4 linked regions of the Drosophila melanogaster genome follow. The protein of the gene in region 4 interacts with the protein of the main gene of each other region in a pairwise test. Each region holds a gene or a part of one and is shown on either strand. Other genes may lie near its edges. The genes, in order: Liprin-gamma, CG33109, Vm26Ab and Mat1.

Region 1 (9,115 bases), about 12 Mb from region 4:
TCAAATGATGATGTTACAGAAAGCATCTGGGCTTTTAACTCAAGATCATATTTTATTAAAGAACTCTTATACCATTTCTCTACGAGCATGTGTCAAATTTCAGATTGTAAGGAATTTTAAGTACCATGTCAAATTATATTAATGCATACAGAAAGCGATTTACCGGGAAGCAATTTCATGCAACTGCTGCACGCAATTCGAGGACAATGTGAACCAAAACCCGAGGGTCCTTTGAGTATTTGGCAAATTCGCCAGCGTTAATTGGTGGGCGTGGCCAGGTGGCCATCTGAAATTGAAATTGAAACTGGCGCTGATTATCTGGTCGACCGCCGCTGGAACACGTCCGTCTGCCACCCACTTGGCATGAGTTGGGGCAATAAAAACTTATTAAGCGATGCTGAGGACGCGGCACTCGCAACTTGCCATAAAACCCGGACAACATGGGGAAGCCCCAAAAAGCGGGGGCCAAAATAGGGGAAAGGGAATCGTGATGGGAGGGCCAAAAGGATAAATGGAGAAACATTTGGCAGAAATGTGTCGTTGCCTTGGGGCAGGACCGTAATAAAAACGAAGGAATAAAACGAAATAAAAATATAAAAAATGCGCATACGCCGCATTGGCTTCGCCTGCCTTATAATAGACATTAATAATATATCGCCGTTTCCGCTCCAGACTCCTTCTCATCCGATTGCAGTGGCAAGTGCGATAAACCGTTTAGCAACATCCGGAAACGGAGAGAGAGAGAGAGCAGAGATAGAGCGCTATGGTCGAGTGTCGCGACTATTGGATACCCGTTAATCAGATGGAGAGGATAAAGATAAAAAAGAAGAAATGAAATGCCTTATCATTTCCATTAAATTGGTTTTAATAGTCAGATTTTTGCTATGTCATGCTTTTCAACAAATCGATCATACCCTTGTACTCAACGAGTAACGGGTATAAAAGAAGGAAATAGTGTAAAGCACAATCCTAGCGAAATTGCGAAATTGCTGCCCTGACCATCCACTCTCTATCTCTGGACATTTACATACTAATTCGATTCATTACTGTCCAGCCAGGGCTGGAATCTTAATTGAGGTAATCAATGCATCTGTAAGCTGATTTAGGTTGAGTGGTTTCTTTGGACCCCAATCGGCTTAAAATTCAATGCATTTTCAATTTGGCATATTCGCATCTGGCCATCCTTGAACTCTGATCGAATTCAATAACAAGAATTGTATAAGAAGTACACGCAAATATTTTGCAATGAGATATTTGCTCATATGCACACACAATGGCCGTGCAGCAACAAAGGCTTCAAAAAGTATTGGGAAAACTTTGGCGACGACTCCCACCCACAGCAGCCCACTGCCTCCACTTCTCCACTTTCCATCTGCTAACTTTTTGCAGTGCCATCTGCGGAAAAGTTTATTGCGATAAATGAAAATAGGAAGCGCACAACGAACAGTTACAACAAGATGTTGAAATAAGTTGTCAAGCCAACGCATCCGGCTGTTTTATGTATTTTCTACTCCCATTTTTTTCCTGCTTTCTGGGCGTGTATAGTTTTCCACTTGTCTGACTGCGGCGGCTGTCGGCGATAAGCGCAAGGCATTGATAAACATCCCCATTCTACGCGGCACCGCAACTCCATTTCTTTCGCAGCACTCCCGTCTCATGTCCTCCCCCCTTTTAGGTGGGGATGGAGTGGATGTCAGGCAGTGACAATGGCTATGCCGTCCCCACAATTGGTTGGCTTGACAAAACGCTGGCCGGGACTTGTAATACACCTCAAAAAAGTAAGGGTGTCCTGTAGTATGGAACATTATCTTTACACCAACATGTAGATGCATTCAAAATGTCTGGAATTTGCTATGATATGTTGAAAGCCCCCACGCTTAGATCTTGATATCATATTATAACGATGCCAGTAGAAATTTAGTTGCTCCTAATGCAATCTTAGATTCTTCTCTCACTGCATCTGGCTCAATTCTTAAGGTTGAGGTCGTCGTAGTTGATTTTCCGCAGCTCTGCAGGCGGCAGGTTGGAAAAGTGGGCAAGGGGAAATGGAAAAGCGGGTAAATGGAGGGTTGCTGGGGGCGGCGACTGTCAGTGGGACACTTGGCTGTCAATGGCAGTTGAGTTACGACAAAAGGGAAGAATTGCATGGCAGAGACGTTTCCTTCGGCTTCCATGGCTTGTGGAATTTTTCACGCGTCACCTGTGGCAGATAGTGCTGCTCCCGCCGCCTCTTCTCGGCGGGAAGTCTTCTGTCTTGACTTTGTCGAGGGAGTCGGAGTTTTGCCATATATCCTAGGCCTTTTCCGATGGAGGAGCCGAGTTGAATGAACTAGCACCGTAATCGATGCGCCTCCGTGTGTGCGTTTGTTCTGCCGCCATTGTTCGGGATATCAGATACACATATCCTGGCACCGATGGCGGCGTCTGCCAGGAGAGCCACAAAAAAGGCAGCAGGATGGGCTCAGCAGCCGCTTGACATTCATTTGATAACATTTTATTAGCATCAGATGATGGCGGTTATCTCATGGCTGCACTTCACATTTCCGCAGGCAGACAGATGGCAACCACAATGATTGTCAGTCAAAATAAAGACAAACAGTGGCCGTGTCCATGAGTTTGCGGATGCGAAGGGTTCGAAGGGTGGGAGGGGTATGGCAGGAGGATGTATATAGGATATATCGGACCGATTCAGTCAGGTGCAAAGCCCTCTACGTGGCTGCGGCTAGTCACGTCTGCCACTTGTGCTTATGAATGACACTACACTCTCTGGCACGGAGCGGTAAAGGGATTTATCCGGTTCAAGTCCTGTGAGCTCAGGATAATGCACTGCAATGGCTCTCATTCGGATTACTCCACCCTTACGCGTTGATATGGCAATCGATTCCGCTTTGAATTGCATAGTTGCGATGCGGGAAAATAGGTTTGTTTATCAAGCCAATCGAAAGGTAGTAATTGAAAGGATTGCAGAAGAGGCAAAAAAATAACACTTTAATATGAAACTCAGTTATGAATCAATGTTTCCAGTTAAATGTAACTGCAAAGCTGAATCAGAAAGCCACTTTTATCACAGCTGTCAGAATTGTTAAGCCCTTTCAAACTCAATTAAACCATTTAGACTTTAAATGAAAATGCCATTTTCGTTACAATCACATTGAGAGAACAATAATATCAATTTTCATAGATGAGGCGATGCGATTTCTTTGGCTGAAATATTTTGCACGTGTTCATTAAATCTTTTCACAATAATTTGAGCATTTGCTGTCGGGATCATATTATACATGTTCAGCTTTGAGTGCAATACTCACATACTTTCGATTCCTTTGTCAATTTTTGCCGCAAATGATAGTGTACAGTCAGATTGTTTTACAATTAGTAGGAAAGCATGCAGACTGCAGTTGTCGTTGGCAACCTCAAAGTGCGCAACATCCCCACATTTACCCACTTCATCCTCATTTATTGTTTTGAGGCTTTTCATATTTTGAAATAGTAACTCCCCGCCTGTCGCAAACAGTTGCAACCACTGACATTTTTGGTCTTGAGATATTTCATTAGAGTAAAATCGGGCTGTGTGGCCCAACCACACAGTCTGTAAATTGTTTCGTCCAAGTTAAATTGCGGGGAAAATGTATTGTGGCGTCCAAACAAAGTACAATTTATATTGCTGATTAATTGAAAACGGAGGTGGTGTCGTTGCGATTCAGAGCCAGAGCTTGACCTTCGTTTTTGGGAGCGGAGGAGCAACAAGGATTCGAAAGGATTCTTGCGGGACGTTCGGATGGAAAACGTAAACAAACACTTGTCCAAGGCAAGGCTAGGTCGGGTTTTCGAGAGATCCCTGGTGGCTATTTCTCCAGCGATTGCGAGCTTTCGCCAATGCGCATGGGCGCTCTTGTATCCTTTTTCCCATCTCGCTGTGCCTAAGCTTTCGTGACGTCACATGGACGCCGCCAAAACGGCACTCGGGCCAAATGCCAAGGACTCGAGCTCAGTGCCATTCGAGTGATTCGCCCAGTGAGACGTTCCAAGCGCCAGAATTGAATTATTCCCCACATATCCTTCGGTCTCGCTCTCGTTCTCTCTTTCTGTCCTGCTCTCTTCGCGGAGAGTGTGTGCTGGTGTGCGTGTGTGTTTCAATCAAAATCAACAAGAGCATAGCCGAAAAAACTTTCAACCAAAGCGTGTCTAACAAATTAGAAAGCCAGAAAAACCAAATAAAAAAAAAACGAAAATAAAAGAACCAACATTGACTTCAACTGTTGGCCACGTGGTATGTGGCCTTCTTGTTTTTTCAGTCAGAATCCGAGGTAAATTTTTCGAAAACAAACAGACAGACACAGCATCGCCGAAAACAAGAAAAACACTGCGGAGAACAATCGAATTTTTGGGGGGGAAAAACCACCGCCAGTAAAATTCGGTCAATATTTGTGCGAGTGTGCGTGGAGTAGGGAAATTTTTTGGAACTTGTGTGTCACTCTGTTTGTTGTTGTTTCTGTGCGCAAATATAAAGGAAAACCAGCGAACAGCCAAATAGGGAAAAATCTGTGTCAGTCGCGAATTACGCACTATCTCATTTGGGAATTTCGGGCCGCTTGGGTTTTGTGAATGAATAATCAAAGTGTTTGCACGCATTTTTAAACCGATTTGCGCCTGTGCAAATCTTTATTAATTTCCGAGTGGTGTTCTTACTAATGACAACATCAGTAATTGCTGCCAGACACGAAAATCATATTTACCTGCACAGAGAGAAAATGCAGAAACCATTTCGTAAACGAAATAGGCTTACTTCTGACATATATCAAAGGAGCTGTGACTGCACTTTTAGTAATAACTTTAACTTGGTAGTGGTATGTTTGGTGGTTTTGAGTTTTTCAAGAAATCAAAGCCATATGGGTCAAAAGTATGCCACCTGGCTGAATAAATCAAAAGGAACCGGCGGAGAACCGCGGGCGGTAAATGTTGCATATTACGTGAGTTTTTACCACGACCATACGTTACGCATACGCCATGTGGGCCCCCTCCGAAGGCAGCAAAGGCTACCAACAGTGCGTCGCGTAATAAATCGCACGACAATAACTCACGGCACCCAGGAAGGGGGTTGAAATGATGATGGGGATTTGGGACAATAGAAGGGGTAAGCAACCAGAATCGGGTCGGGCTGTGACCAGGAAAGTCGCAAACTGAAAGCTATTAAGCCGAAAGACTTAAAGACTTTTGCTACCCACCTCCGGGGACGGTCTACTCCAGCCCCCTCCCCCGCCACAATTTCCCCTCTCGCTTCAAGCCAAACCACGCACACACACACACACACACACACACACATCCGTTTCCTGTGACAAGGAGCAACAACGAAAACTCACTTAGCCATGCTGCCTCAGCCTCTGTGTTCGCCAGACTCACTTGACATGCTCTTAATACCAAATAAAAAACAAGAGCTCAAGGACGCTGAGAAAACACTCCGTTCCACTTTTGCACTGCGAGTAAGGCCAAAACCCCCAACGCCCCGGCCACGCCGTCATGTGTAAATTTTTAATGTTACCAAGACCCCCAAATGTAGGTTATCAAATTGTGTTCAAGTTGTCTTCGCCAAAAGCGCCGTAGAAAAAGTTTTAGCGCTCGCCGTTTCCCCGGTTGGAAAACATTTTAAATGATTTTGTTGTCGGCGGTTGGTTGTTTTTCGTTGTGTTTCCCTTTAGACGCCCCCTGCCAATTGGGTCAAGCATTTACATTTCACGCCTAGCGAAAAACTCAGTCAGAACTATGCTACTTCGTCACGCCCCCATCCTGCACGCCCCACTCACCACGCCCCACCACCATTCGCCGTGTTGTGCAAGCTCTCCAACGTTCGGTAGTGGTGCATCTATTTAGTCAAATTAAAAACACAAATTCAACTCTGCTCTGCCGGCTGCCACTAATTAATTGCAAACTAAATGAGTTTCTCGGCATAAAACTTTATCCACAGCAAAGCTGATTGCTGTCAGTTTTGCGGCCGAAGGAGGAGCAGCATTCTACTGGCGATGTAGATTGCAGCGAAATCGCTTGGCAAAGAACAGGGGCGGAGATTGGTTTATGTGGCTCCCCTTCTCCCCGAGAAGGAGCCCTGGCTCAAATTGTAATTTGTGCAGCTCCCACACATTCCATTCTCGCTCCATTGAAGTTTTCTGGCTGAGAAAGGGGGGCGAAACCATCGAGTCATACAGGAAATTAGGGCTAAAAGCAAGTGTAAAACGGTCAGCGCAGTGAAAACTTTCTAGCCCGAAAAGGGAAAAATATTGGAAAAAATTCTAACTTTCGAGTCGAAAGTTCACAAATATGTGAATGGAAATACTCAGCATTCTATTTAAACTGCATACGTTTAGACACCTATTTAAGTAACTTTATACGTTCATTTTTAATTCAACTAAAATTGCGTTTGAAGGGTTTTTAAAGGAGGTCAATGCAATTTCGCTCTCTGACATTCCCCTCAAGTGAATGGCTGGGTTTAGTCATCATGTTATGAGTCACACAGCAGGATATGTACGGTCAATGAAGTTAGCCTTTCGGAAATAAAGTGTTCGCTTGCAGGTAATCGAATTGAATGCTGGCTAGCAGACGGCATCCAGGCTCAGCCAGCTGAGCCAGCTCAGCGAGTCGAGTTGAGATGGGCAGGACCTTAATGATGGATGTCAGGACGGACAGGATGACCAGTCACTCACTCATTTGGCATTGAGGGCACTGAGCCATTAAATTCCCACTTGGCGTGTGCGGCGGATTGGATTTCGATGGCTGCTCGCGGCGTGAATCTGTTAATTCAACTTATTAATTTTCATTGAATTTCTCCGTTCGCCACTGTCACAGTCACTGTCACTGCCAATGTCAATTGTCACCGAGTTGTGGCGCCCTAGGGCGGGCATTGACATTATGGCACTTTGGGGTGTGCTCGTTGGTCTGTGGTTTGTGCAATCAAGTCGGTTCGAATGGTTTTGCTCAGCACAAAATACTGCATTAATTTGCATGCATTCTGTAGGCCGACATTCAATCGATATGCCAAAACTTATTGGCCATTTGTTCGGCCAATTCATTTAAATCTTTTCCATCTCAAGCCTTTGATTTATTTAGAGCCTGAGCTCCGGCTCATGGAATGATAAATTAATAAATGTGTGCATTGAATCAAAGGCAACGGCAATAAATTTCAAATATTTTACCTCCCATTTTAAGAACGAAAGCCACAGACGCACACACATGGATACTTGGAATCGCCCTTTCAAATGAGCCTGCCTCCGAGTGCTGTCACACTGGAAGAAGTGAAGAATTTAATAGCCAAGCTGCCACTTAAGAAAGCTCCTGGAGAAGATCTTCTTGATAATAGAACCATTAGACTTCTCCCAGATCAAGCATTGCAGTTCCTTGTCTTAATATTCAACAGCGTTCTTGATGTTGGCTACTTTCCGAAAGCTTGGAAATCGGCGAGCATAATTATGATCCATAAGACTGGAAAAACACCGACAGACGTTGACTCGTACAGGCCCATCAGCTTACTCCCATCTCTGGGTAAAATTATGGAGAGGCTGATCCTAAACAGGCTGCTCACATGCAAGGATGTTACCAAAGCGATTCCCAAATTTCAGTTTGGCTTCCGGTTGCAGCACGGTACTCCTGAGCAACTACATAGAGTAGTGAACTTTGCTCTGGAAGCTATGGAAAACAAGGAGTATGCAGTAGGTGCCTTTCTTGATATTCAACAGGCATTTGACAGAGTCTGGCACCCTGGGCTCCTGTACAAAGCGAAGAGGCTGTTCCCGCCGCAGCTATATTTGGTTGTTAAAAGTTTCCTGGAAGAACGCACATTCCACGTCTCTGTTGATGGGTACAAATCATCAATCAAGCCAATTGCAGCTGGAGTTCCTCAAGGAAGCGTTCTTGGCCCAACCCTATACTCAGTTTTTGCTTCGGACATGCCTACTCACACACCAGTCACAGAGGTAGACGAAGAAGATGTGCTCATAGCCACCTACGCTGACGATACTGCTGTGCTCACGAAAAGTAAAAGTATCCTGGCTGCCACTTCTGGTCTACAGGAATACCTGGATGCATTCCAGCAATGGGCTGAGAACTGGAATGTGCGCATCAACGCTGAGAAGTGTGCCAATGTGACGTTCGCCAACCGAACAGGTAGCTGTCCGGGTGTCAGTCTGAATGGGAGACTGATCAGACACCATCAGGCTTATAAATACCTTGGTATTACCCTCGATAGGAAGCTCACCTTCAGCAGGCACATCACAAATATTCAGCAAGCGTTCAGGACCAAGGTTGCTCGGATGTCTTGGCTCATTGCACCACGCAACAAACTGTCGCTTGGCTGCAAGGTCAATATTTACAAGTCCATATTGGCCCCCTGCCTGTTCTACGGCCTGCAGGTATACGGCATTGCTGCGAAGAGTCACCTTAATAAGATCCGGATCTTACAGGCGAAGACCTTAAGAAGAATTTCGGGGGCTCCTTGGTATATGAGAACAAGAGACATCGAACGCGACCTCAAGGTGCCCAAATTAGGAGACAAGCTCCAGAACATCGCCCAAAAATATATGGAAAGGCTTAATGTACACCCCAACAGCCTAGCAAGGAAGCTAGGAACTGCAGCTGTGGACAATGCTGACCCTCGGACTAGAGTCAAAAGAAGACTCAAGCGACACCACCCTCATGACCTCCCTAACCTGGTTTTGACCTAGAAAGTCTTAGTTTTAAAATTCATTAGAATAATCAAATAAATAATAATTACTATGTTATATCAACTATTATAATTCTCCCTATCATTTTTAGGATTAAAAATCTGTTAGTCTTAAGTAACCAAGACACATTGTAAAATAAAATAATTTAAGCAGATCAAATTAAGTTGCCGCATGGGTAACAGTGCGTTGATCAAATAATAAAAACATCATCGTAATCGTAAAAAAAAAAAAAAAAAAAACACACATGGGACCCCAATAAAAACCAATTTATGAAGCATGCTTCTCAGGGCAATTGCCTGCCCCCAAAACACACAGCCCAAGAGCTTAATTGAATGCGAAGGCAACTGCATAAGGAGCGTCACCGGCAGGCCACAAATCAAATAAGTTGGGCGAAAACAGGTCAAGTGCTC
Region 2 (7,538 bases), on a different chromosome or scaffold from region 4:
TGGTGTGGTCTCTTTATCGCCTCGCCACGGAGAGATTTGCGACCTTAGCAAGTATGTTATCTATTGCGATGTTGCACGGCACATTGACTGGGTACGTCAAAATATGGTCATGTGAGGCGCTGAAATAATTATAATGTGACAATACAGGAAAACACGGAAATTTATGTACAAAATTCTCAATAAATCTTTAAGTCGTATAATAGATTACCTTTTCCTAGTCGGTGGATTTCCCAAGCATGCATTGGTGCCAACAATCTATTAAGTGTATACTTTGCGCTAAAATAAAACCCTTGCTTTAAGCCTATGACTTAAAGTGCAGATGTTTGCAATCATTGATTACAAATTTTCTAAAGAGAGGAATAGATTATTAGTGCTTTTGGAATTCGATTTAAACAAGTGAGAGCTCATCAGAGAGTAATAATAATAAGAACTATAAACAAATAAGGCTGTATGTCAGATCTCTTGTTAATAATACTTTTGACTCAAGAGCAAGAAAATCAGTTGTGAGCAACAGCAGGGTTTTGACTCACTAGCTTATCAGTAAAGATAAATGTAATTTTTAATTTCTTTAGTCGTATTAGCACCTTATCAATTAACACATTCGATCAGTGTTAGCCCATCCATGTTGAGAATAGTAATTCGATCTATGATCATAAGCTTAAAATTAAATTGATGATAATTTGTAAACTCTTTGTATTGAAGCTCTTGTTTTGTTTATACGAATTAGTCAAAGATTACTAGAGAGGGGATTTTCGCTCAAAACACAGAAGGCAGATGGCTTCTAGACATTTGATTACGAGGTACCAAGGGTATATCCACTTAAAAACAACGATTTTAAGCAATATTATAGACAATTGCTTGTAGGGGCTAATAAAGAAAGGTAAGCAAGAAAACCAAAAAAAGATTTACTTAACTTAATCTACCAGATTATACTATACTGGTTACTTTAGCCGAAGTAAAACTATGATTTAGTTGAGAGCAAAGTATCAAAGAGTCGGCAGATTAATTCTTAAATGTTTTGATGGAAGCTGCGCCTTATTGGCTCAGCACGATGCGGAATTTCCAGTTTTGCTCAACACCGATACTCAGTGACTCAACAACTCGTCGAGATGTGTAAGCAATACCCGATGCTCGGCAATCAGTCTTATTTGCCCACCGTAGGTTGTCGCGTGCGGAACCGAGAGCTTCTTTTTCTAATCCAAGATTCCGGAAAGGTATGGGTCTGGAATTGATCGTAATTGTGTCGCTAATCGCCTTGGCCGGGGCCCAGCTTGTTCCGGAGAACTCGTGTCCGGACTACTTCCGCTATGTCAACGATGCCTTCCAGGGTGTGCAGGGCGAGATTACGCTGCCCAGCTTGATGCGGGGTCGGAATCGCATAGATATACGTTTCTCGCAACGGGGTGAACAAGATGTATGAGCTGGCCAGCAATCATCGCGCTGGTTTGACAACCCATCTGACCACTTTGTTCCCTCGCACTTCGTAGGCCTCCGCCGTGGGTTCCCTGATCCCGTATCCGGATGAAAATGCGGTACGACAGCTTACAGGATCGGCCAAATTTCGAATAGCCGTCAGACCAAATTCAAGCAACGGATTGCCCAAACTAACGCGTCTCTCCTACAACGAACAGATCTTGTGCTCGGCCAGCGAATGTGAGTAGCTTGTGTTAGGTTCTAGGAATAGGTATTGTCTTATAGAATTCTGAAGTCCCTCAATGTTAATGTGCATATTTCTTGATGAATTCTTTTGAGCCCTGTTCCAGACAGACCGCCCAATAGCTTCTTTAATCGCTTCTATGAGCTCGACATCAGTGGTTCGCTGGCTTCGTTCCCTTCCTCCGTATTCAATCCCTTCACCAGAGATGGCTTAGATGTGAATGTGCAGACAGTATTCTATCCTACCTCATCCCGTGGCAATGATATCTGGCGTGGTTTTACACAGCCCTGGACGACTGTGTCCAACAGAAGCCCAGCAGTGGTAACTCCAGCACCCACTCCAACTGAGATTTTCTGGAATCAACCAGTACCCAGTGTTCCAATCACTTTTGCGCCACCTGTACCAACTATTACGAGCAGCCCAGCACCAGCACCACCACCACCACCACCACTTCCAACTCCACCAGCAGTTGTAACCGTTCCGCCAGCTACTCCACCACCTCAACGCTTTGATCCGCGATCCCAAATATCATCAGTAGTTTGCGGTCGAGAGGGCAGCACAACTCCGTTTATTGTGCGTGGAAACGAATTCCCTCGAGGACAGTACCCCTGGCTATCGGCCGTCTATCACAAGGAGGTTCGAGCTCTGGCCTTTAAGTGCAGAGGATCCCTGATCTCGTCCAGCATTGTAATTAGTGCCGCCCACTGTGTGCATCGGATGACGGAGGACCGCGTGGTCGTCGGACTCGGGCGCTATGATCTGGATGACTACGGAGAGGATGGGGCCGAGATGCGCAATGTAATGCGATTGCTTTGGCATCCGGATTACAATACCCGGTCGTATTCGGATGCCGATATCGCTTTGATCACCATTGAACGGCCAGTGACGTGAGTATTTAAATAATTATTAGTAATTTAATTTTTCACTCAAGAGATACAAAAGGTATATTATAAATCATTTTACGATGGGCATTCCCGTTCAAATATTATATTTACTCTATCACAATATGTGCTTCTCACAGAAGGTGATAATTTAATACTCATAACATGCGAAAAAATCTCTCTTATAAAGTTCATATTTTAAGGACTATCATGTTTTCTTTCAGGTTTAACGACATTATTGCACCCATTTGCATGTGGACGGTGGAGGCAAGCAGAACGGTGTCCACCACTGGCTTTATAGCGGGTTGGGGGAGAGATGAGGACAGCTCCAGGACCCAGTATCCACGCGTGGTGGAGGCGGAGATTGCCAGTCCGACGGTCTGCGCCAGCACCTGGAGGGGCACCATGGTGACGGAGCGAAGTCTGTGCGCGGGAAATCGCGATGGATCTGGACCCTGTGTCGGGGATTCCGGCGGTGGACTGATGGTCAAGCAGGGCGATCGATGGCTGCTCCGGGGTATTGTGTCTGCAGGGGAACGCGGACCTGCCGGCACCTGCCAGCTTAATCAGTATGTACTGTACTGCGATCTTTCCAAGCACATCAACTGGATAAGCGAAAACATTCGCTGAGCATCCGGATTTGCTTTGTGGACAATCAAATTAAAAACTTTAATGCCAAAAGATATTTAGATGTTTCACTGTCTGGTGATTTTCGGCAAAACGAGTTTGCGCCTCCCATCTTTCACTTATTTTATTGGCAATGATGGATGATTGAAAGGCAAAAAAAAGTACAGATAGGTTGCTACGTGCTGACAATAAAATGTTTGTAAAAAAATAACTTTAATTGTTGAGATGTACTTCATTAATAGTTCATCTATTTTAGGATTTAGCAGCGGCCACTTTTTTTTTTTATTGGTAGAACCGATTGATTGTTCTGGCTAAAAGACACAACTGACTTTTTCGCTAACTTTCTTTAGCTAATATCTTACAAATTAATGGCCATGTGTATTGCATGTATGACATAAAAGTAAACATATATGCCCACGTATTGACTGCTAAATGATTGGCATCGGCTGAGCAAATGTTTGGGAAGCGTGCTGCACATTTAAGTACCCAATGTAATTGGCTATAAAAGGCCTGCAGTACGATATATAGACTCTTAGAGGCCTGGTATAAAGATGAAGTGCAGCGGCTTTCTAATCCTCCTGGTGGTCCAGTTTGCCTGGAATGACAGCGTTCTGGCAATAGAAACTGCTTTTGATATCTGGAATAAATTTGGAGATGGTGGAGCTCTGCCCAATGATCCAGAAAGGCTAAACGAAAAAGGTATTTCGGTTCTAAGTCCAACTAACGACCTGCAAAACAAGAACGAAGGAACGATAACGCAATTGAGGAATCTTCTTGACAATTATGTGGCAAAATTATTATCCGATTTGCCCAATACTCGGAAAAAGAAAAGGAGACAAGGCCTGCAGGAATCTCTGCAAGCTCTAACTGGTCTAGGTTTGAGCATATCTCCATTGCTAAAATTCCTAACGAACATCAAGGCAGAGGAGGAGCAACTTGTCTCGAAACTTAATGTCCAGGAGGAATGGAAGTTCTGGGCTGCCGCAAAGGTGTCGAAAGTTCAGGAGTCGACTAAAGGTCTTAGAACCGCGGAGGCTGTTTCCATCACTGAAAACTTCAACAGTCGTTACGGCCTTCGATTGCGTAGTTGTGTTGGTCTGTTTATCTGGAATCAGATTCGGTTTAACTTGGACTTGGAAAGTTCCCTAAATGGCCTGCAAAATCCAACGGAGCACTTGATCGATGTCACTGAAGGCTGTTCCAGCGTTAAGCCAAAAAAGTGCCGGCGGAACGTCAGAAGAGCTATCGATGGCATCCAGAATGCTCCACAGAATTTGCTGAATCTGCGGACTAAGGGCAACCAGTTGGAGGACATTCAACGGCAAAGTAATCAGTGTGTGGATAAAACTGTTAAGGAATACACTGAGGAGCGGGTCGAGGTAGAAAGACAGCTAGATGATATAATCGAGGATTATCTTGAGAGTGAAACATTTACCAAATAAGTCGGGATCTATACATTTAAAATCAGATATTATTTCAATAATCACTGGCGAACATATAGCAGAGACAGCACATAATTAGGAACCTTTCGCACCAATTATTATAGAAACAAATAAATAAATATGAGATCCATTAAATATGTTTTATGATAAAGGAGCAGAAAATCAAAAATTAAATCTTTTAAATACCTACTGTGAGAAAATGTTCATTCATTGTCTTTGTGCTGTTAATAAAGTTATTTTAAGAAAAGGTAAGTAATATTAATGCATTTTTTGGCTTAATGGAGCTTAGCATGTGGAAGTGCAATTTACGCTCGAGAATTTAGCTCCAAAAACTGAATACTTAAATACCCACAAAGTGGGGAGAGCCACTGACTATTGAGAGACTTAGATCGGGTATCAATCAGTGCTCATTGAGTGAGTCTTTTGAGTTTTAATGCGAGTAATTAAAATCTCTATAAAATAGACTGGAAAAGCTCAGCTCATACGTAGTTGCAATGAGTCCGCATCAGCTGGTGACCGTTCTCCTTCTGGCTTCTCTGATTAACTTGGTTCTTGGCCAGTTGCCCCGGAATGGCTGCTCTGGGCGATTTCAATACCAGGGCTACCAGGGGCAGTACATCGGTTTGGTGGAAGTTCGTCATCCGGAGGCCAATAACCAGACACTCATCCTTCAATTCTCCCAGCAGGGATATCACGATTTCGAAGTAAGATTCAGCATTATTAACTTGGAAATTCTGAACTCATAATAAGTCGCTTCTGTTATCACTTTGCTTACTTTGCGGTTGTGCAATTTCCCATGCGGCAATGAAAATTGACATTGCAAAAATATATAAACAAGCACAATAGAATGATAGAATTATTAATCAATTAATTTTTGATATTTCTTTTTTTAAGGACTATGTGGGCAGTATCTCTCTGGTGGATGATGATGAAGTGACCCAGGAAAATCTGCGTCAGGGCTTGCCGATTAGATACCGTGTGGATTTTCCTATTCCAACAATACCGCCCAAGATCACTAGCATGCAATTGAATGGCGTACAACTTTGTAGTGGCGGTGTATGTAAGTTTTTATAGTTCAATATATTTTAAATGCAATTTATGGACGTATAATTTCTAGATCCTAAGCCAAGAACCGGCATTACGCTGCGAATCACTTGGACGCCCTCCTACATATCGGTTTTCGGCGTTAATCCCCAACCTGTGCCAACCAGACCTCGACCCGCTTGGCAAGATGAAAGTCCACAGATAGACTACAGGGAAACCAGACCCAGTCAACCCAGACTAGAGGATAGCGGAGAGTTGTTTGGAAGGAGTAATGAGTCACTGCCAGCCTTCCAAAATCCCGGATGGGGTACCGCCCCTCAGCAGGCAAATCCGAATAGAGGTATTACCTCTCAGCCGGAGATACCAAGTCCCGTCCCACAACGACCGACACCAAATCCTAGTCGATCTAATGCTCCTCAGCAGGCGGTGAGAAGCCCTGTAGATCTTGTTCCCCAGCAGAACCCTTCATCCAATGGTATTCCCTGCGGTCGGGAGAGAGCTAGTACCACTCCATTGATCTTCCAAGGGAAAAGTCTTCAGCGAGGCCAGCTCCCATGGTTGGTTGCTATTTTCGAACGACGGGAGAGCAACGGACCCGCTTTCATCTGTGGAGGAACCCTCATCTCCACATCCACGGTACTATCGGCCGCCCACTGTTTTCGTGCTCCTGGAAGGGATTTGCCCGCCTCTCGGCTGGCCGTCTCCTTGGGTCGAAATACTTTGGCCATTCACTCCGATGGAGAATTTCGCGGCGTATCCCAGCTGATTATCCACGAAAACTTCCAATTCAAACAGTTTACGGAGGCCGATTTGGCGCTGGTCCGATTGGACGAACCTGTGAGGTGAGTCTATAAATTATATAAATATATTAAATATAAAAAACTACTGCTTATACTATAATAAGGTACACGGACTACATAGTACCTATTTGCCTTTGGAGCACCAGCAACCGCATGGATTTGCCCCAGGGGCTCAAGAGCTATGTTGCCGGCTGGGGACCTGATGAGACCGGCACCGGCAACACTGAAGTATCCAAGGTTACTGACCTTAATATAGTCAGCGAAGCGAACTGCGCCCTGGAGCTGCCACATGTTCTGGTCCAGCCGAGCTCCCTGTGTGCCAAGAAAACGGGAGCGGGTCCTTGTGCCAGCGATGGTGGTGGACCATTGATGCTGCGGGAACAGGACGTTTGGGTGCTGCGGGGAGTGATCTCCGGAGGTGTGATCAACGAAAAGGAAAACACCTGTGAGCTATCCAAGCCATCCGTATTCACTGATGTGGCCAAGCACATTGAATGGGTTCGCCAAAAAATGTGGAATTGAACACAAAATGAAGATTGCGAACATGAAAAGCATGCCCCCTTCTTGAAGAGATTCCCATTGATGAATGTAAAATCACGTAATCGGAAGATCCATGTATTACTGCCTACTATTGCGTTATGGGTAATTCTAAGTGGATCCATTAATCATTGAAATAATAAAGCAAAACGGCGCATCTTGAATACACTGCAAACTTTTTTGGATCTTTTGTTTCCATGAACATTTATTTTGGTTATTTTGGTTTATAAAATCCCAATTCATGCTCTTAAGCCCCAAAAAATAATTCTGAGTCAAACATAGTATTAGTCCCCCAAAACCTTTTTTTGAAGAGTATAACTACGTCACTTATTCTGATCAGGTTGGGAGAGCCAAGCAGCTTTGTTTTGAATCGGACTATTCAGCTAGATCGGAAACTAATGCGAATTGGCTGAGCTAATACCAATCATTCATCGCGCGACTCTCAATCAGTGCGGTTTAACCTCTGATTCTCGATTGGATTAAATTCGCGTCTAGCTGAATGCTGTGCGATTGCAGTCGCATTTGTTTTCCATAAATATTTACTGTTCCG
Region 3 (7,244 bases), on a different chromosome or scaffold from region 4:
GCTCAGCCTACGACACCTTCGACTGCAGCTCCCTTGGCTCCTGCAAAATCGGCTGTCCCATCCCATGTACCGCTGACAGAGAGCAGCTCGTCGGGATCCGTAACGGACAGCATATGTACTACCTACGAGCAGCAGGCCACTGATGCGCCACAAAATCTACAAAATTCCCTGCTCACCGAGTCGTCAAACAGCCAAGTTAGTGGTTCGGATGCGGAATCTAATAGCCGTTTGAAAAGCGCCGAGGATGCCAGCCTGCTGCCTTTCGCATCTGTATTTCAATCAACCAATCTGCTCATGTCCAGCTCAAAGAAGTTGATCGAGTCGGAGGCAACTGTTTTTGGTACCCAGCCGTACAAGTTTAACTACAGCGACTTTAATGATATCGATCACCGTCTGAAGCTCTACTTCTACCAACGAAAGTTCAAAGAGGATGGCGAGCATTTCAAGTGGTTGGCCAAAGGTCGCATCTACAATGAGCAGACCCAATCCTTGGGAGAAGGGCTTGTGGTAATGTCCAACTGCAAGTGCTATCTAATGGAGGCCTTTGCAGAACCCCATGACGATGTGGCCAAATGGCTGAGGCAGGTCGTCAGCGTGGCAGTCAATCGTTTGGTGGCCATTGATCTGTTGCCCTGGAAACTTGGCTTGTCCTTCACCTTAAAGGATTGGGGAGGATTTGTCCTGCTGTTGCATGACATGCTGAGGACGGAAAGTTTACTGAATTATTTACAACGTGAGTTAACTTTTTGCATGTTGCTTTTTTCCTAATACTTATTATATTTTTTAACAGAAATTCCTCTGCCTGAGCAGTGCAAGCTGAATCATCAACCATCTGTCACACTCAGCCATCAGTGGGAAACTATTGCGTCCGAACCAGTCAAGATGTGCTCCCTGATTCCCAGCTGCCAATGGATCTGTGACCAGGAGAAGAGCTCCTTTGAACCCTCCCTGCTCCTAATCACGGAGACACATTTGTACATCTCAGGAAATGGCAAATTCTCGTGGCTGTCAGATAAAGTTCAGGAAAAGCCCATTCAACCAGAACTTAGCCTTAATCAACCACTGAGCAATTTGGTCGACGTGGAGCGCATTACAGACCAAAAGTATGCGATCAACTTTATTGATGAGACGCAAAACAGGTGCGAGATATGGAAGTTGCAGTTCGAAACGCATGCCAATGCCGCATGTTGCCTGAATGTCATCGGAAAGGGATGGGAGCAGCTATTTGGAGTGCCATTCAGTCTCTCTGGAACGTGAGGAGCGAATTACACTAGAAAATTGAATATAGCCTGTACCAATTATTGTGCAAAGTTTAAAATTGTTGATCTTAATTGACTATGTTATTTAATGTCAGATTAGTTTTATTAACTTAGGCTAGAGCTTTCAATCAATAAGAAATGGTGCTGTACCACGATTTAAATGTAAATATTTATAAATATAGAGGTTATTATTTTTTGAAGTCCTTGCAATATATTCATATATTACAGAATTAAATCGTCTAAATTGTTTTATTTGTTGTTAGATGAATTATAGTTGGTATCAGTAAGTTGATATTACATATTTGCTTCTATTTACACATGAATAATATTATTGGAAACAAAAGAACTACAATATTGTCAAGGAATTTTGTTTGCTAATTAAATAATATTCACACGTGAGTTATAAATGTTATATGCATTTAAACTCGGTCGGATTTATTTTCGACTTATCTGTTAGTGCTATCTACTTGATAATTTCGGCATAGAGGTTTTTCATTTCTGTTTTAAATCGGATGTCTTTATAAACTATTATCTATTTCTATTAATTATCTATATACAGTACACTTCTTATGCTGACTCACTCATCGAAGAGTCCACTTAACCAGGTGTCTTACTTATCGCCCAGCTGATCTGCGATCCAGTCAAGATGCTCCTCCTTGAAGCGAGGATCTGCCATGGTCAGAGCCGTCGACTTGGAGCTGTAGTAATAGAAAACCGACACTGCGGGAAAGAGGAAGATATTAGGATAAGTGTGGAATGAATATTTCCGGAACTCACTGATGCGCTGTGCCACTGATAGGGCAATCAGACCCAGTGGCCAATGATGACCGTCCTCTTCTGGCGGCTGACGGTATTGGTAGATGATCCAAAAGTGCTGGGAGGCGGACAGAAGGAAGTAGATGGTAATGCTGGCCATGAAGAGCTTGCAATTCCGCAGGATTATGTGCGAGGCGCCGACCTGGTACACACACGTCGAGTGCAGGGCGAGGGTGAACAGCAGGTACTCCGCGATAATCAGGGCATCCTGAGTGCTGTGGTAACGTGCTGTGTTCAGAAAGGATATCTTCTCCATTCCCTAAGATACTCACACAAAGAGAATTATGGCTGTCTGCAATCGGTTTCTGGCCAGCGAAGGACCAAAGGCGTTGCAAAAGAGGTCCACTCCCAAAAGGGCGAACTGGAACAGGAGCACCCAGGAGTAGCGTCGCAGTGTTAGCTTCATGGCGGTGTCCAAATGTCAAGCGCTTGTTTTCGGTCAATTTGTTGCGTGCTGACTGTGCGGGGGTTTGTTGTGTCCTTCGTCCTGGTGACGTCAAAGCTACCACTGCGGTCATGCGCTGTGGATTTGTACTATCCCCTTATCGATAGACAGATTTCCATGGAGAACTGGTGAAACTTTGAAAACGTGTGGAAGGCATTGGCGGGAACAGAAATGGGTACGTATTTTTAAAGACCAGGTTACAAATTGGAGTCAGAAAACTATATATTATTCTGGGTTGCTTTTATTATCAGACATATCGAGCATATTCAAAAGGGTACTGCTGCCGTTTTCCCGATCGGAAGGTGTCCATTCTGCCAGCCTGTCGCCGGAATCTCCTGTAGTACTGCTGGTTCATCTCGGAGTAGAAGTTTGTGGGCAGTAGGTGAGACCAACTGTGGTCGCCTTCACCATTGTGGCGGTCCAGAAACTGGAACATCGATGCGGAAGTGACTTCGGCAGCCCCTGTGCGCCAGAATGGCCAGGTTGGATTTAAGGTCACCAGAGCCAAGACCAGAAACCAGAACGTCATCGTCTTAGCCATTTGTGAAGAGAGCTGTTTGGCCAAAACCCGGCACCCAATACCCTCCTCCAAAGTCGACTGCCGGTTGCAGGTGGTCAGCAGATTTCGAGCCGGGGTGCTTCCATTTGCATTTTTTTCGGAACGCTGTCGTTCTACTCCGTCAGTGCGATCAGCGTTTTCCGAGTGGGCTATAAAGTGGATTGGCTGGGAGGCTACAATCAACAGTCAGCCTTCGTTCGTCACTTCAGCAGCAAGTAGAGACAGCTCAAGAACCATCCGCAATGGCATTCAACTTTGGTCACCTCCTCATCGCCGGCCTCGTGGCCTTGTCCGCCGTGTCCTCGGAGACCATCCAGCTGCAGCCCACTCAGGGCATCCTCATCCCCGCCCCGCTGGCCGAGAACATCCGTGTGTCGCGTGCCGCCTACGGAGGATACGGCGCTGCCCCAGCCGCCCCATCGTACTCCGCCCCAGCCGCTCCCGCTGCCCAGGCCTACTCTGCTCCCGCTGCCCCAGCCTACTCCGCACCCGCTGCTCCCGCCTACTCCGCACCCGCTGCTCCTGCCTACTCTGCTCCCGCTGCCCCAGCTTACTCTGCCCCAGCCGCACCAGCTTACTCCGCACCCGCCTCCATTCCGTCGCCGCCGTGCCCCAAGAACTACCTGTTCAGCTGCCAGCCCTCCCTGCAGCCCGTGCCCTGCTCCGCCCCAGCTCAGTCCTACGGATCCGCCGGTGCCTACTCCCAGTACGTGCCCCAGTACGCCGTGCCCTTCGTCCGCGAACTTTAAGGATCGAAACGAATCTGACTTGACATCTGAACCTAAGAATAAAGTAATGCTTTCATAAAAAACATTTAAGATATTTTATTGAAGGGGTATCAAGGGTTTTATTGCTTTTCTACAAGCTATTAAAAAAGTTTCAGCTCTCTGAAATAAATATAATTATTACCGATATGATGCAACAAATTTAAGGTTTTGTGTTTTACTAGTACACCTTTTTTTAAAAAGAACAAATTCGTATATGCAAAACGAGTAATGGGCTGTAAGCAATTTTGAAATTCTAGAACACTTTAGATATATCTTGTTATTTATCGTCTTAGCAATGATTAAAGCGGCACAAAAAGTTGCTCCCAATTTTGGTCTAAAACTAATCCTGTTTATATATTTAATAGTGCCAAACAGAAGTCTTAAATAAATAATAAATATTAAAAAGATTAAAATATTGTTTAAAATTTTCACTTTATTAAAAATCAGCTAGTTCATCAATATGAGCTGTACCCACATGGAACCGGCTTGATAACCGCTTCGCAGGAGAACACATAGTTCTTTGGGCAAGCTGGAGAAGGAACTTCACTGAGTGTGGTTTGTTGTTGGTATGTTCCCTGAACCGGTACCTGGGCCTCATCCTGGTCGTAGCTGCGAGCGAAGCCAAATTTGCCACGTCCAAAACCAGGACCTCCGAAGCCGGGACCTCCGAAACCGGGACCTCCAAAGCCGGGACGTCCAAAGCCAGGGCCTCCGAAGCCCGGACCTCCGAAGCCAGGACCTCCAAAACCAGGTCCTCCAAAACCAGGTCCACCAAACCCGGGACCACCAAAGTTGTTCTCCACGATTACCTCCTGTACGATTTGCTGTTGCCTCCTCCTACGGTTCAGATACGCATCCGAGGGCTCGACAGCTGATGATCTCGATGGCAGGCTCCTTAAGCACCCTGTACTTCCTCCACAGGTCGAGGCTTCCAAACCAGCCTGCTGACCCAGAGAACTCGCTCCGGCCAAAAGGGCAAAGAATCCGAGATACTTCCACATGCTGACTTGATATGGTGGCGTTGCAAGCTGAGAAAGCCGAGATGCGGCGTTGTTCAAGTGGCTTTTATAACCTCATGCCACCAGAAGTGCACAACGAAGCGGAAACGGAGATGGCCAAGGTAACACCCAACAAGTGGGTCACTTGGTCGCACATTCCAGAGGGCGAGTGGGATCAGAATTGGGGCGAAGTTGGAAGTTCGAGAAAATGGGCCATTGGCTAGAAGGGGTTAATCCGCTGGGAGGGCCCAAGTCACTACTTGGCTGGGCTCGGAAACCCTACGAGCACCTGAAACCCGAAGGTCAGCACATTGTAGCCACTGCTGCTTTCCGGCTTGTAGGCTGACCGACCAGTCAAGCGATTGATGATGGGATCCGATATCGCATTACCCAATCGCTTGCACTTTTCACTTTTCAATTTTCCGCTTTGTCGCTGATTCGGATGTGTCGCAAGCATTTCTTCTAGCTAAAATATACATTTATGTACAATTTAATAACTATTTTGTTTGGTACCAGCATTTCCTGCAGTTCAGTGACCCACAACGAGCTGCTTGGCACAAAGGTTAAAAACTGAAAGTTTGCTTAGTTACAATCACCTGTATCTGGCGGATGTAGATTTAATCGGATTGGGAAAAGCTGGAGGCAGTAGCCGAAACTACATTTCCTTTTTCAGGAATTTAATAGCTAACGATTTTAAAATGGTTTTATGGTGGTTATAAAATGGTTATAAAATAAATTATTTTAGTACAAGTTATATAAGTTAACTTGGAGAATAAAAACATTGGGTTTACTTCAATGATAAACGTTGATTAGGTTACTAAAATAAATTTTGTCGTCAATTATCTAGTAAGATGATAAAAAGACAGTGCAGCAAATATACTTAAATGCTTCATTTTGGGAATGTTTAAAGAAAATGTTATACTTGGGACTTTTAATATATATAAAGTTATATCAGAATATATATCTTTTATCAAACAACAGCCTGGTAGAATAATAATATGATTTTGTTATTACCAACATTATCTTGGAATGATAATCTAGGCTTGGTCTTCTTCTATTGGTTGCTAGAAACTACAATAGTTATACCCTTAGTAAGAACAATTCATGATTTAGCTTTTTTTTAGTGATTTAATTGCAGTACATATTTTTGGGTATATTTTTTGTCAAATCCATCAAAGCTTATGTTTCTCGGCAGTCGGTTCGTGGTCCTTGGGCGATGATCGCAGTCGCAGTCGGAGCAGGTGCTTAGTACTGGTAGCCATAGGTCTGGGGCACGTAGGCGCTGTACAGCTGCTGCTGGTGCTGGGGCACGCCGTAGTTGGGGGCGACGTAGGTGGCCACCGGGGAGGAGTAGGCGCCGGCGGATCCGTAGCTGGGAGCTGGAGCGCTGCATGGCACGGGGGCAAGGTTGGGCTGGCAGCTGAACAGGTAGTTCTTGGGGCAGGGAGGAGCTGGGATGCTGGAGCCGCCATAGCCGCCGGAGCTGCCGCCGTAGGCAGACTTACGGAGACGGGTCAGGTCACCGAATCCCTGTCCGGTCACTCCCTCCAGCTCTCCGTCCTGGGTGGTCACCGAGGAGCCAGTGGAGCCGGTGGCCGAAGCCACGTTGGTGGGCGAAGCCAGAGCGGCGGCGGCGAAGGCGACCAGAGCGATGCACACGAAGGATTTCATCTTGGTTGTTGGTGGTTGAAGATTGAGCTGGAGGCGGATGGGAGCTGGTTGGGCTGCTGGTAGTTACCAAAGGTGACTGATGCCAATACCATTCAATTGGCCATCTTTTATAGCTGTCCAATCTGCCTAGTTAGCACTACGTTCAGAACATAATGGCTAGGTCTACTCTTCGTTTTTGCCTTGATTACTTTTCTGCTCCATCAGCCCAATGGACAATTGTATACCGCTGACTTTAGTAGCTTCACATCGACAGCTTTTTGGGGTCATCAGCGGGCAGAGGAACGTTTAGGTTGGCGATTTGTGGTTGATATCTAGTGCGTTGCACTTTAAAAGTGGTGGGAGTGATAAAAGAGCACGACCCCCTTTCGAAGAAAAAATGTTAACAAATTAAATTTCAGACTTGTAACTTCTGTAATTAATGATATGACCCGGGGCACAAGATACTATTTGTTCAATAGAACCAACAAATCTTCTTAATATATTCTTTATATAATAAATGTTTCTTATATTTTAACTATTTTATAATGCATGTCAAAGACAACATTTCAATAACTAAATAAAACTATGTTATATATATGACACTGAAAATTTTTTGGTACTCTAAGTTTAATATTCATTGCTGACATTATGATATGTAAAGAATAGTTTTGTCCAAACTAAACAAAGTAGATATTTAAGCTGTTCAAGAATCACATCTAGACTTATTTCCTTTAAATGCATTGATTTCAA
Region 4 (7,490 bases):
AGAGACACGTCGCTACATCGGGCTTCGTCACTCGACTCGCCCTGCAGTCTCTCCCACAATTTTCTGGGCGCTTTCCTGCAGTCGTCCCACGAACGTTGCCGCAATTGGTCTACACGAATCGGTTCGCTAATAAAATGACTGCCATGCCCCACGCCCACTCTCGCCTCCTAGGAAAAACGCTGGCATATTGAACTGTGCGACTAACTAACTTAAATACTTAAAAGCAAGCCCAGCAAGCCGAGAGCAATCTGCCTAAAAGTGACAAGTTATAGGTGACACAACAAAAGCTAAAATTTGTGAGAAACTGTGTGAAAACTAGAACTACAAAATGATGAAGCTGTTTAAAAAACCCAAAGACAAAATACCCAAATCGGAGATTTTAACCGAGCCCAAGGAGCCCAAAACACCGCCGGTCTCCAAGTGCGGAAAACCTTTGCAGTTGGACAACTCGCGATGGGAGGCAAGTATATTCGAGATATTAAACCTGAACTTTGGCCAGATATCGCGTTCGAACAACTGGTCGTTAATATACATATAGTGTTCCATTGCATCATGAGTATGTAGTATTTTGAGTTTCAAGAAATCTGCGTGAATCTTCTGTTGATTCTCTTCAAGGCTGTACCAAGATTTGTTTTTATTATTCTTGGCATTGCCAAATCCAAACCTTATCGATCAAACCCATTTATCCGCAGCTCATTTGTGGGGGCAGCGGTGCGATACTTGTTTATGGTACAGAAAACGGGCCTGCAAGTGCCAATCACTCGATAAGAAGGGGGATCCGAAAGACGGAAAAACAATCGTCGGTTCTATAAATTTCAGTGACATTTGTTTTTATCTTATCGAGCATTTCGTTTATTTATACGCGCGTAGGCATATAGCGTATATTGGCGTTTGTAAGCCAAAGGAGAAATGGCGCACCGATAAGGCGAGCGGAAAAAATAAGTCTTGAGAACTCTTAAGTAGAATGTCCCAGCTGTAGGTGTGTTTCGCGATAAGATATACGGCGAACTGTCCGAGTCATTAACTAATATAAGTCTTAAATTTTATTTTCTGCCCCACAGCGCCGCCTACACAAAGAGCTGATGTCCCTGATCAAGGAGCCGCCACCAGGCGTAACCATCGACACCGAGAGCGTACAACAAAATTTATCCGAGTAAGTATGGACTTCGAGGCGGAGTAGGCCAAGTTCAGCGACAACTGAAACTGGTTTAAATCAATTCGCAATTCAGCAATTCGCACTGAAAACAAAGCCCGCAGTTGTTGGAAGCTGACACTAATATCGCTGTTTTGTTTACAGATGGAAAATAAACATTAAAGGTTTCGAGGGCACACTTTACGAGGGCGAGGACTTCCAGCTACTTTTCAAATTCAACAATAAATATCCGTTCGATTCGCCAGAGGTAATAATTCAGTTGAACAAAGCGAAGCTGTATGGAATCTTAACCATGTTCTCTTAATTTCCAGGTGACCTTCATCGGCACCAATATACCGGTGCATCCGCATGTCTACAGCAACGGACACATCTGCCTATCCATTCTGACCGAGGACTGGTCCCCGGCGCTGTCCGTGCAGTCCGTGTGCCTTAGCATAGCCTCCATGTTGAGTAGTTGTCGCGAAAAGAAGCGTCCGCCGGACAACACGATATACGTAAAAACCTGTAATAAGAATCCTAAAAAGACTAAATGGTGGTACCACGGTACGTATGCGTGATTTTCCAACTAAAGCCCACTGACTCTAAACTTGACTAATTGTTTATTTCAGATGATTCTGTTTAGTTAAAATTGCCATTTACTAATACTGCCTGCTATTGTTTGCTTTGCGCATCCAACCAAAAAAAAAAAAAAAAAAAAAAACACCATTAGCAATACAGAAGTAGAACACGGCGAGATGCCCCCAGAAATCCAAGAAATGTGGGACGGCGGTCAAGCACTGCTCGTGAGTGGAGCATACTAAAACCCAAGTGCACTCGGATGCGAACGTAATGTGCAACAAAGTAAATGAAGTTAGCGAGAAACTTATGGGTAGTGTTTGGCAAACAATCGTGGCGCATGCAAACAATTCTAATTGTAGCTATGTGTAATCAACAAAAGGCGTGTGCGAAAAACTATTATTAAATGTTAACATTTTAATTAGATTGTTAAGACCAAATTTATGTCTAAATTAAATGTTATCCTACCATTTAACCACTAAGCGTATGCAAACCACTTGAACGTTTGATAGTTCTGGCACCTCGCGCCAGTTGCTGCTTCCACATTCCACATGCATCGTTCGCGGCATTTTCTGCCCGAGTAGCGTGACCCAGCACACACACACATCGCCTCCATCCCAGCTTATATTAATTTTGTGTATTTTATCATCATAGATGAGAAGCAAAACTCATGCGATCATAGTTAAGATTATGACATTTTAAATGTATTAGCAGCCATATCCCCGATCGCTCTCATTGTCACCAGTCCTGCACTCTGTAATCTACCCACATTGCCCATGCATAGGTCGTTAAGTTAACCAGTTCATGTACTTGGCTAGGATAGTCCATCTGTGGCCAAAAATCTCGCAAGTGGCCCGATCGCAGAACACATTTACCTCTAACTGTGCAAGTAGATCTTAGGATGTGACGAGCTACTCGTCCGACTATCACACGATTTAACTATAATCCGTATAATGTATAAAGAGCAAGTTAAATCCAATGTATGTTTATCCAGCATATGTCTATAAATGCCTATAAATATTTACTGTTAAAAGTATTTAAAATAAAAAGAAGTCTGTAGTCGAACGAACCAACTGTTTTTCTGTTTGGCTCATTTTGATCTCTTGTATTTGTATTTAGAATACAAATTCAGGAAACTTTCTTATTTGAATAATTATCAAAATGAATAAGCTAAGTTTCTTTGCAAATGAAAGTTATTCTAATATAGACATGTTATTTTTTTTACTTCTTGTTTAAGGATTAATTTTCCTGCGCATCTATTGACCTACTATGTAGCCAACAACAATATATTTTTGAATAAATAATATCTATAACGTAGGATATAGCATTTATTTATTTAACATATATTAAGTTACGAGTTAACTGAATGGATTCGTATAGGACACATTTGTTCAACAAAATTAAGCGTTCAGTGCTCTGGTTGTGCGACCATTAAAGGATATTTTTTTAGAGAGCTAGGTGCCAGATACCACACCCGTTGTAGCCGTATAGTAGAGTCCCTGCAGCGCCTCCTGAAGCGCCCGTTCACAAGCCAGAGCGGATGTGAATCCGCCGGCGTTCTCCTGCGGTGTTTCAGCTCGTATGTGGGCAATATAGCCCCTGGACACGATCTCATTTGTGGGCGGCATGGCAGGTCCCTCACTGAAAGGAACAAGTGGCTCGTATACGAAAAGTGGACCCTCCTCCGATTTGGGAACGGGCAGCAGACTGGGATCAGCTGTCTGTCCGAACTTTATGCCCGTAGAGAACTCGTTGGCGGGCTTCGGCGGTGGAAGCTGTTTCTCCTCCTCGCGCTGCTTTTCCGCTTTTTCGGCGAACTCGGTGACAATTTGGGCGGCATCCTTGCCGCTGTACATCAGCTCCTCGATCAGCGCCTGCTTGTCGCGGGCCTTCTTCTTCTTGTGCTCGTTCTCCAGTTCCTCCAGCTCCTTCCTACGCGCCTCCTCCTGAACTTTCTCCAGCTCCAGCATCTCCTCCAACGCGTACTCATCGCGTCCCACGCGGGTTTTATTCCGCTGAATGACCTCACGGTTATCACGCTTGTAGGCCTCAATACGCTTGTTTGTCTCGATGATGTCGATGTTGTTGCACAGATTGTACACAATGTCCTCGATCTCCTCCAGATAGTCATTGTACTCCGCCAGGGAGGCAAAGTCCTCCTCACGTTTATTGTAGTCGCGCAGAATTCGCCTACGAATATCCACCTCCTTCTCCACCATTGGGTCCTCAAAAAGCTGCACGCGGAAGTTGTTGCGCCGCAATGGGACCATGCACTCTGGACAGGCGCCGGATCCTTTGAGGAACAGCAAGTCCACGCAAGATTCGCATAATGTGTGTCCGCAAACGTTGACCATCAGCTTGAGCGATGGATTCCGGTATTTGGTGGTCTTGCACCGCGGGCACGCCTGGTCGTCCATCGCGTAGCCGGTTTACCTGTCCTCCTCTCTGCTGCTTAAATCCGTAAATAAAAACTCTTTGCCGGCCAATGTTTTCGATAAATTATTATTTGATGCATTCCCTAATGTGACCATGGTTGGCCCGTAATGTCATGTTTGTGATTTCGCTTAGTAACTTTAGTTCACATCTAGCACATACACGAACCACAAACATAGCGTTGCCATACTATATGCATGTTTTACAATAGCCGTTACAAGCTTGAAAATTTAAAGCTTGAAATGAAGCCCATGAATATGAAATGAGAATTTTAAGCTATTAAATAACCCAGTACTTTAATAAAAGCCAATTCCATAGTTTTCTTTTAACATTTTTATTTCAAACAGCATACGCGGTAGTTGTTCACATTAAGAGTAAAGTTTAAATATGTTTTCTTTAAAGATACACGCACTTTTATGTCATACGTATTTTGATATATGTGTTCTGAGTGTATATGCATTAAATAATTCAATAATTTACATTAACCAAATCATCCCCAGCTAGGTGCACCTGCCAGCTTTTAGGCAAGCGACCCGAGAGCAGCGATTTGATATACATTTGTTTTAGCTGCGTAGTAAAATTTACAATTAAATACATTCAATAAACAGTAGTAGTGACATCATATACACCTCCTTTATATGCAGTATATATATTTTTTTGCGTAGATAAAAGCATTGCCAAGCAGTTGATCAAAGTGACCCATCAATTTTGGGTGTTAGTTGCATGCGTAATACTTGAGAGAAGGATTGAGTGGGTGAGTCGGGCGATTTTGTTTGGGTGGGTGCGTTATAAAAGCACTGTTGCAATACGAGGCGTACTCCTAATATATTTAGACTAACTTATGCGCTAGGAAGAGAACCTACTCGATTTATACAGATTGATTTAGTCGAATATATATTCAAAGGTGTGGTTAGGGGGAGGAAAGAATATATGTAGAGACAGAACCTAAAAAGAATCGAAGGCGTCTTGTCTTTGTATAGGTTCTCAACAAATTTGTCGATTCAATTAGAAATCGAATCACTGTAAATATCACAATTTAGTTAACACATATACAATTATAATTGTAATAACTAAAATAAATGTACGTAAGCTGTCGTCATTAACAATAGAAACTACCAGTAATTACAGCAGCTGCATTTACAGGCTGCAGCCTATGTCGCGTATGGATGGGGATGCGTGGAGATCCAGCCACCTAGCCCTGCAGCGCAGTGACCTCCTCCTCCAGTTCGGCGTCCACCTCGTCGATCTTGGACCCGGTGCACCCTCTGCACTTGCAGCAGATGATGCAGGGAGCAGCCAAGAGCAGCAGCGGCGAGGCCACCAGCAGCAGAATGCCAAAGCCGGCGAAGATCCCAATCACTTGGGCACGATGCCAGACCACCGAGGCCCGCGAGTGCCCCAGCTTGTTCTTGCACGGTCCCTTGTCGTAGTGGCGCAGCAGGAAGTCATCCTGCAGGAATACAAATTAGATGAAATATCCTAGACTTGCCAGATTCTAGGAACTTACATCCAAACTGGCCAGGCAGTACCAGCAGAAGACGTGCTTGCAGCGCTTGCACATCATCTGGGCGCAGCCCTCGTCCTTTTCGATGGGCACCGCGCACATGGGGCAGCACTTGATCAGTTCGTTGTCGAACGGTATGCCAATGTCGTCCTGGCCATCGGCAATTAGGCGTCTTCCAAACTCGTCGCAGCTTATGTTCGGATGGTACTGCAAAAAGGATAGAAATCATTATAAACTAGAAACCATTAAAAATGTGATAAAATTGCGCAAAACTAAAAACCTTTTATAGAATTTTAATTTATGTTTATGACAGGAAACAACAACAATGTCACACACTTACCGCCTTTTTGCAGAGGCCGCAGAATTCGTCCTTGCAAGAGGGACAGTGAACAGACACCGAGAGAACGGGAGCTCCGTTTCCGGCCGCGGCACCTGTGCTTCCGTTTCCGGCCACCTCCTGCTGTGGACTGTAGCTCTGCGAGGTCGACGGCGACTCGTCCATTTGGCAAATGACGCTGGACTGGCCAGGCTGTGCTGCTGCACCCACCGTGCAGATGGTCTCGCAGCCAGCCCGTGGACACCAGGTGCGCGTCTTGTCCAATTCGATTTCTAAATGAAAGTGTAACATTACTAAGAGGTCTCTTAGGCAATCTCTTAGGCAAGGACTTACCTCGATTTAGGCGATATCTATGATGCTTCTTTAGCAGATTCGTTGTAGTTAGGTTCGCTATCTCGGGCAGGGAAATGGCACCCTGGGCCGGGCACGTGGCGTCCGGACAGGAGATCTCGTAAGCGCCCTCGGAAATCTCGAACTCAACGTAGGCACGCATGCACTGCAAGTAAATAGAAGCAGGCGATGAATTAGCTAAACAATTTGCACGTCTTAAGCGTAATCGCACCTAAGTCGGGAAAATATATCTTGATATACATATATGTGAGAGTTGTAGCTCACTCCCTCACTTTTTGCCAAGGGAAAAGTTTGTCAGGGCATTTAGCAAGTTTGGCTGGCATAGTTTCGGCCAGGAAAACCGCATGGCCCACCACAAGGCTGCGGTTGTCGGAATTATTTCATTTTCACTCGCACACAAAAGTTGCCGCCTGTGCGGAAGCTTTTATAAATAAAGATTTAAAAGTTTTCCCTTCCGCCATGGCACATTAAAGTAATGGAATTGCAAACGGAACCAAAGGAAATACTCAAATGCTTCGACACCAACCATATTTTCCCTTTTCGGCCCCGCCAGCAGCAAATGAAAGCCGGGCAAAAACGCTTTTTGGAGAAAAGTTTCCGAGTCGGTAGCACAAAAAAGTGTCTCCTGCGGCCAACTCTCCTCCTTTTGGCCAACTTTCTGTTTAGCCGTAAATAATTAAAAGTGAATTTCTCCTTTCTCTGGACAGCTCTGCCTGGAATTTGGGCTACTGGCAACTTTCTGTTTGCTAACTGCAATAATGAAACTAGATATTCCGCTCAAATGAAAGTTTTCATTAAAGCAACTGCATAAAGCACTTTGCGAAATTTGTGTGCACATAAGCGAATTGGAAATTATTGCATTTCTAAGGGGTTGAGCCACACAATTTGGATGTTTAACTTTCGGAATTTGGTTATGGAATGTAAATAGAAGTTATTTATTGACGTATTTTTCATTTGCAGTTCATTTGCGAAGTTTAAAAAGAAAATAAATAAGGAACTTTCTAATTTTAGTAAAAGCTATTCCTTCTTAAACGTTTGCAGTGCAGTTTTTCAAAGTGCACACCCAGCTTCTCTTAATCCCAGTGTTGAAGGCTTCACCTGGTCATCAGTCAGTCGGGCCACAGCAGCCACAGCCTCCGGATTTGCGATGCGCGGTA

The links.
Region 1: the proteins of Mat1 (region 4) and Liprin-gamma interact in a two-hybrid assay, tested with the Drosophila melanogaster proteins (one large-scale study listed by BioGRID).
Region 2: the proteins of Mat1 (region 4) and CG33109 interact in a two-hybrid assay, tested with the Drosophila melanogaster proteins (one large-scale study listed by BioGRID).
Region 3: the proteins of Mat1 (region 4) and Vm26Ab interact in a two-hybrid assay, tested with the Drosophila melanogaster proteins (one large-scale study listed by BioGRID).

Annotation. Positions count from the first base shown.
Region 1 is NT_033778.4:22,349,577-22,358,691, reverse strand, and holds the start of Liprin-gamma (Liprin-gamma), read left to right. Parts: upstream 1-3,983; 5' UTR 3,984-4,304; intron 4,305-9,115.
Region 2 is NT_033777.3:14,217,758-14,225,295, reverse strand, and holds CG33109 (uncharacterized protein), read left to right. Parts: upstream 1-3,711; 5' UTR 3,712-3,716; coding exon 3,717-4,607; 3' UTR 4,608-4,736; downstream 4,737-7,538. Other genes in the region: CG9631 (uncharacterized protein), read left to right, coding at 1-115; Sp212 (Serine-peptidase 212), read left to right, coding at 1,217-1,414, 1,488-1,653, 1,764-2,544, 2,763-3,168; CG31326 (uncharacterized protein), read left to right, coding at 5,102-5,311, 5,502-5,667, 5,725-6,493, 6,556-6,973.
Region 3 is NT_033779.5:5,953,745-5,960,988, forward strand, and holds Vm26Ab (vitelline membrane 26Ab), read left to right. Parts: upstream 1-3,259; 5' UTR 3,260-3,321; coding exon 3,322-3,828; 3' UTR 3,829-3,895; downstream 3,896-7,244. Other genes in the region: CG9044 (uncharacterized protein), read left to right, coding at 1-733, 791-1,257; CG13999 (uncharacterized protein), read right to left, coding at 1,870-1,979, 2,037-2,290, 2,348-2,481; CG13998 (uncharacterized protein), read right to left, coding at 2,768-3,061; Vm26Ac (vitelline membrane 26Aac), read right to left, coding at 4,302-4,847; Vm26Aa (vitelline membrane 26Aa), read right to left, coding at 6,090-6,515. UniProt on the Drosophila melanogaster protein: Major early eggshell protein secreted by follicle cells into the perivitelline space and incorporated into the vitelline membrane. Involved in vitelline membrane biogenesis; forms a cross-linked network with other vitelline membrane components.
Region 4 is NT_033778.4:10,735,596-10,743,085, forward strand, and holds Mat1 (menage a trois 1), read right to left. Parts: upstream 4,235-7,490; 5' UTR 4,126-4,234; coding exon 3,163-4,125; 3' UTR 3,022-3,162; downstream 1-3,021. Other genes in the region: CG7220 (uncharacterized protein), read left to right, coding at 329-460, 1,062-1,153, 1,298-1,400, 1,465-1,696, 1,762-1,775; CG33144 (uncharacterized protein), read right to left, coding at 5,334-5,591, 5,649-5,852, 5,986-6,254, 6,316-6,478.